Saccharomyces cerevisiae S288C: one gene and its partner. The protein of the gene in region 2 binds, or shares a complex with, the protein of the main gene of each other region. Each region holds a gene or a part of one and is shown on either strand. Other genes may lie near its edges. A codon is read from its position in the direction of its gene.

The links.
Region 1: the proteins of VMA22 (region 2) and VMA7 are in contact, whole or in part, in a cryo-EM structure (PDB 8EAS), measured with the Saccharomyces cerevisiae proteins. Residues at the interface, in NP_011927.1 of Saccharomyces cerevisiae: Tyr17 (codon at 1,204), Leu20 (codon at 1,195), Leu24 (codon at 1,183), Tyr27 (codon at 1,174), Leu31 (codon at 1,162), Leu34 (codon at 1,153), Gln35 (codon at 1,150), Phe38 (codon at 1,141), Tyr42 (codon at 1,129), Leu45 (codon at 1,120), Ser46 (codon at 1,117), Tyr60 (codon at 1,075), Gly61 (codon at 1,072), Glu62 (codon at 1,069), Trp65 (codon at 1,060), Asp66 (codon at 1,057), Glu67 (codon at 1,054), Thr68 (codon at 1,051), Tyr69 (codon at 1,048), Ile70 (codon at 1,045), Gly71 (codon at 1,042), Gln72 (codon at 1,039), Leu73 (codon at 1,036), Met74 (codon at 1,033), Ala75 (codon at 1,030), Val77 (codon at 1,024), Val86 (codon at 997), Ile88 (codon at 991), Lys92 (codon at 979), Pro132 (codon at 859); in NP_011534.1 of Saccharomyces cerevisiae: Glu3 (codon at 1,680), Arg5 (codon at 1,686), Thr6 (codon at 1,689), Ile8 (codon at 1,695), Glu14 (codon at 1,713), Asp15 (codon at 1,716), Thr16 (codon at 1,719), Thr17 (codon at 1,722), Thr18 (codon at 1,725), Gly19 (codon at 1,728), Leu20 (codon at 1,731), Leu21 (codon at 1,734), Leu22 (codon at 1,737), Ala23 (codon at 1,740), Gly24 (codon at 1,743), Ile25 (codon at 1,746), Gly26 (codon at 1,749), Gln27 (codon at 1,752), Ile28 (codon at 1,755), Thr29 (codon at 1,758), Pro30 (codon at 1,761), Lys35 (codon at 1,776), Val39 (codon at 1,788), Gln41 (codon at 1,794), Ala65 (codon at 1,866), Ile66 (codon at 1,869), Leu68 (codon at 1,875), Asn70 (codon at 1,881), Ala90 (codon at 1,941), Ile91 (codon at 1,944).

Annotation. Positions count from the first base shown.
Region 1 is NC_001139.9:526,209-529,002, reverse strand, and holds VMA7 (H(+)-transporting V1 sector ATPase subunit F), read left to right. Parts: upstream 1-1,673; coding exon 1,674-2,030; downstream 2,031-2,794. Other genes in the region: post-initiation translation factor DPC29, read right to left, coding at 499-1,371; UGA1 (4-aminobutyrate transaminase), read right to left, coding at 2,359-2,794. UniProt on the Saccharomyces cerevisiae protein: Subunit of the V1 complex of vacuolar(H+)-ATPase (V-ATPase), a multisubunit enzyme composed of a peripheral complex (V1) that hydrolyzes ATP and a membrane integral complex (V0) that translocates protons.
Region 2 is NC_001140.6:218,757-221,976, reverse strand, and holds VMA22 (Vma22p), read right to left. Parts: upstream 1,253-3,220; coding exon 707-1,252; downstream 1-706. Other genes in the region: GIC1 (Gic1p), read left to right, coding at 1-443; mitochondrial 37S ribosomal protein mS41 FYV4, read right to left, coding at 1,477-1,869; mediator complex subunit MED6, read left to right, coding at 2,093-2,980; peptidylprolyl isomerase CPR2, read left to right, coding at 3,134-3,220. UniProt on the Saccharomyces cerevisiae protein: Required for V-ATPase activity.

The DNA of each region.
Region 1 (2,794 bases), on a different chromosome or scaffold from region 2:
TAAAAACTTCGATTTGATGACTGTCAAGACCCCAAGAAAGAGGGAAAAAAAAAAATGATATCTCATGCAACAACAAGTAATTAAGTGCTCCTTGTTCATGGAAGACACAACAGGCACCACTAATAACCTGAATGAGGCACCTTCGACTTTCGAGATGAGCCCTTAGTTCATCCTGGTGTTGTGTTTGAGAGGGGGAGAGCACATCATTGTACTTCCAGATCCCCCTAGCCATGATCTAATATTACCGCTGAGTAAAAATAGATCTCGGCTGCGTCTCCGTCTCCGCCCGCCTTCCGTCGGTTACTTCGTCGGTTCTTGCTCGACCCCCGCCAGTCCGCAGACAACAGTCCGCAGCAGGCAAGTGCTGGTGTCCGCTTGGTGTTTTTACGTACGATTGTCTTTGTTGTTGTTTTTACTCTTTATTACAGTTATTACTACTGTTTGTTTAGTATATACAGGTATTTGTGGTATTGATTATTTATTTACGGTTTGGTTGGATTAAGCGTTGCTAGCGTTAGTGTACAACGACGTCACTTCGTCGATGTCCTCGAGCGCTGTGGTCAGTTTCTGTAGTTTCTCGAGCGTTTCATCGCCTTGCACGAAAACTTCCATATCCGGCTTGGCATTGTAGCCGATGCCCAAGTCTCTGATGTGGAAACCACGCTCCTTCAGTAGGGCGGCCACCTTATTGGTATCGGCAGGTTCCATCACCGCCTCGTAAGTTTGGCCTGTAGTTTCAGTTTCGGTATCACACTCTAAATCTTCTGCGTCTTCCTGCACAGGCGCAATGTCTTCGATGCCTTGAATCTCCAGTACGCTTTCTAGCACCTTGTCCTCAGTGTCTAACATCTTCGGAGGTACCATTGTAACGTATCCTTTTTTGTCGAAGAAAAACAACGTTGGAGTCATCGATCCATTAGCTTTATTAAATGCACTCCTTATCAGACCTATGGTCCTGTTCTTGTTGTCTGTCAGCGCTTCCACCACTATAGCGACCCCGCCGGGCCCCATTCCCTCGTATACACATAGCTCAGAAGCGTTTGAGTCCTTGCCCGATGCGCTGCTTCCAGAAGCTTTCCGGATGGCGTTCTCAATAACTTTTTTGCTGACATTGTTTTTATTTGCTAGCTCGATGCTGGTGGCTAATCTTATATTCATGCTCGGATCCGTAATACCGTTGCCTAACTTGACTGACATTGCTATCTGGTTTGCAAACTTGTTATTAATTTTGTTTCGTTCCGCATCATTCTTGGCTTTACCGTGCTTGATGGTTGACCATTTGTTGTGACCTGAACGTACCGAGGAATTCAGCACACTAAACGATCGAGAGTTTTTGAGCAGTTCACCCAGATACCTATTTCTTACCAACATTTTCCAATTTTTGATGCGTTCATACCAAGTTTGCTGTTTTTCTTAGTTATTATCATCATCTTTCCCCTTATTGCTGCTGAAACTTGCGTACGTGCGTACTAAAAAAATTTCACTGCGCTTACGCCGGTAAAGGGAAGTAGGAAAACGAAAGAAAAAAAAAAAATAAAGGCGAACGATAACAGGAAAACCAACGTGAATTGCAAGCACTACATTTATTATATCGAGTTGACAAAGAATTAAGAAAATAGAGCACTACATTTCTATATTCATAGCTAGTCTCACTGACGCATAGTAACTAAATCATGGCTGAGAAACGTACTCTTATAGCTGTGATAGCTGACGAAGATACTACAACTGGTTTATTGTTAGCCGGGATTGGACAAATCACTCCTGAAACCCAAGAAAAGAACTTTTTTGTTTACCAAGAAGGTAAGACTACTAAGGAGGAAATCACTGACAAGTTTAATCACTTTACTGAAGAGAGAGACGATATTGCCATCCTTCTAATCAACCAACATATCGCGGAAAACATAAGAGCTAGAGTGGACTCCTTCACCAATGCGTTCCCTGCTATTTTAGAAATTCCATCTAAAGATCATCCCTACGACCCTGAAAAGGACTCTGTATTGAAGAGAGTCAGAAAGTTGTTCGGTGAGTAAGCGAACGATCTTTCCCAAAACAAACACAATTACTGGTAGATTACTAGTAGCAGGCGGAGGTGGAGGGCGGGAGCCACTGTTATTGCGTTTGTATAATATATACACTCATAAATGATATATTTAAGGTTCAGATAAAAACAACTTTTTTTTTTTTAGCACGTCTTTACTGCAGTCACCAAACCCATTTTTTTTTTCCTATTGTGAATACCCGCCCATATTTTTCACACACAACTGATGAGTAATATAAAACTTTTCTTTAAAATTATAACAAGATACACATATATAAAGACCAAAAAAGGGAACGTGACACGGCCTCGCTAATATACAATCATAATTCATTAACTGATTTGGCTAATGCTTCAATAAAGATATCAGCATGCTTCTCCTCGAATGTTAATGAAGGTCTTAATCTCACTGCATGGACTGCACATCCACCAACGTTGCAACCATTCAACTTCAATTTCTTCAATAGTAAGTCTCTCTTCTCACCAGTAGGCAAATCCCAGGCAATGAATGTGCCTCTTCCTTTACCTCTCAAGTTTTGAAAGTTTTCAGGGTATTTCTTCTGCAAACCCTCCAATTTCTTGAACAAATAATCACCTACTCTTGAACATTGTTCAGTCAACTTCTTGTCGGAGATTTCCTGTCCAATGGCACCTGCAATGATCATTCTTGCAGGTTCACCACACCATGTGTTGAATTGTCTGTATGGTTTGTTTGGAATGAATTTAGGGTCGTGGAAGAAATATCCTGCACTTTGGAAT
Region 2 (3,220 bases):
AACCCCGACCAGATTCAAACGTCTCTTCTAAATATTCCAATGTTGTGATGAACGATTCGAGCAGAATAGTGTCTTCCTCCACAATAGCTACAACGATGGATTCTCACCACGATGGTAACGAAACCAACAATACCCCAAATGGCAATAAGCAATTAGACTCGCCTACAGATTTGGAAATGACCTTGGAAGACTTGAGAAATTATACATTTCCTTCTGTTCTTGGAGATAGCGTCAGCGAAAAGACCAATCCTTCCTCTCCCTCTGTTTCATCATTTTCTGGCAAATTCAAGCCAAGAGAGTTGAGTGCGCTACATACGCCCGAATTAGGAAATTGTTTCAATGTAGATCAGTCGCTAAATTCCCCTGGTAACAGAATATCTGTGGATGACGTGCTAAAATTCTACTATCAATGTAGTGAAACTAGTACTCCTCGAAATACCTGAACTAGTTTTCTTCTTTCCTCCTCTTCTTTGAACTGCTTCCAAATTCTGTCTTTAAGTCCATCACATGGTGTTTTATGGGATTTTGTATTATTACGGTGTTCGGTTTTCTTTTGGGTATTGAGCTTTTATTTTGGTCTTAATTTTTTTTTTTCTTTTTCAAACCATGGACTTTATTATAATTAATCTACGACAACTTTTAATGATTATTTCTTTCTTCAAATATACACGTATGTATTATTTCTTTTTACTATATTCTTAACTCTTTATTCCTGCTCAGACAACGTTTCAACCAACGTTAATATTTCGTTCTTGTAATTAATCAATTGGGCTATTAAGGGAATACAACCTTTGAAACTTGTCTGCGATTGTCTCAATGAAGAAGGAACGGACAGTACTCCACCAAACATCAAAATTGGGTCGTAGTCTTGTTTAAGTTTGTGACTCTGAGTTTTTTGCTTTTCTGGCTTCGTTCCTTTTTTTCTCTGAGTCAATTTATTATCTTCTTCCTCTTTCTTTTCTTGCTTATCTTGAGCTTTTCTTTTGACGATTTCGACAACTACCTTGGAGTTTTTTTCTTCCACTGTTGCCATTAGTTGACCTATATACGTTTCATCCCAGTAATCTTCACCATAGTTTCCTCGTAATGAGTCTTTATTATAGTAGTTCGATCTGCTCAATTGGATGTAGCCATCCTGGAACCCCTTCTGCAACTGCTCTAAGGTGGAATCATAGTTTGAGAGTAGCTCAATAAGTCTCAGGTACTGTTCATCTGTAGTATCCATGTTCTGTGCCATCCTTGTTTCACTCATCTTCTCGTTAAGCCGTCAATTTTTCATTTCATCGTATCTTCAAAACATATTTACAATTCAAATTTCAAACCGATGAAGATTTGAAAGGCCCAGTCAGCGTTTCATATAAATATCAACATGAATGAAGGACAACAATTTCTGAGTTTATTATATATTTACAAGAATATGGAGTATAATGTGAACATATACGTATACATGTATATATTGAGATCTTGCGAAAGCGTCTATTGCTTGTTTTCAGCTTTCCATTTAGCAGTAAATGCCTTTCTCTTCCTCTCACCACCAAAAAATGACTTCTTGCCCAGTTTAATTTCATGAATTGGCCTATTGTTACGATAGTTATGAACTTGTTTCAGTATATATTTCCTTTGTTGAATATTCACGCCTTTTTCCTTCAATATCTTAGAATCCCATTGGAAAAGGTTGTTCCAGTTATTTTCGAAAGTATCCTTCAATTCGTTGCAATTTCGACCGATCTTGTTTAGAAATGCATCTACGTCAGGTACCTGATCGCTTGGTTTGGGGATGGTCGAACTGAAACGATAGGCAGCTTTAGGAGCGGCCAGCGAACTCCTTAAGAATAGAGGAAATTTGTGGCTAATCCGGGAAGGTATCATAGTAAAACGTGTGTTGAATGAAGGTTTGTTATTGTTTGGTCAAGTTTTCTTTGGTTTTATAGCTCTTGTTTGAAGATGGCAGAATTATTTCAAGCCTGGCTGCATTATTTTTTTTGGTTAACATAATGAGCGTATTATAAATAATGAGTGGAAAAATGTGGAACGATGAGAAGACCTCTGAATATAAAGTTGCAAGTAGTGAAACAAAGCAGGATTTCGCAAAATGAACGTGACACCGTTGGATGAATTGCAATGGAAATCTCCAGAATGGATTCAAGTTTTTGGTTTGAGAACTGAGAATGTTCTTGATTACTTTGCAGAATCACCATTTTTCGATAAGACGTCGAATAATCAGGTAATTAAAATGCAAAGGCAGTTTTCCCAGTTAAATGATCCTAATGCTGCCGTGAATATGACACAAAACATAATGACCTTACCAGATGGGAAGAATGGAAACTTGGAAGAGGAGTTTGCCTATGTGGATCCGGCAAGAAGACAAATCCTTTTCAAGTATCCTATGTATATGCAACTGGAGGAGGAATTAATGAAGTTAGATGGTACTGAATACGTATTGAGCAGCGTAAGAGAGCCTGACTTCTGGGTTATCAGGAAGCAAAGACGAACAAACAATTCTGGTGTGGGAAGCGCTAAGGGACCAGAGATTATTCCATTGCAAGACTACTACATAATTGGTGCAAACATTTACCAATCGCCAACAATTTTTAAAATTGTGCAAAGTAGGCTGATGTCCACGAGCTACCATCTAAATAGCACATTGGAGAGCTTGTATGACTTGATTGAGTTTCAACCTTCCCAAGGAGTACACTATAAAGTACCTACGGACACTAGCACGACTGCAACGGCTGCCACCAACGGGAACAACGCTGGAGGGGGCAGTAACAAGAGCAGTGTACGACCTACCGGCGGTGCCAATATGGCGACTGTTCCCTCAACCACAAATGTCAACATGACAGTCAACACTATGGGTACAGGAGGACAAACTATAGACAACGGTACCGGTCGTACTGGCAACGGTAACATGGGTATAACTACAGAGATGTTGGACAAATTAATGGTCACAAGCATTCGATCCACCCCAAACTACATATGAGAACTGCCATGGCAATTGCATATATCTTTGTACTATATTATAAAACCCCGCGAAATCAACTTTTCAGTTTTCTTCAAAAATCGATGTACCCATCATAAGAAGTTCCCCCAAAAGGAAAGAAATGAGAGGAAAAAGACACGAAGGGAAAACAAAATGAAATTCAGTGGCTTGTGGTGTTGGTTGTTATTATTCCTTAGCGTTAATGTTATTGCATCTGATGTGGGTGAGTTGATTGATCAG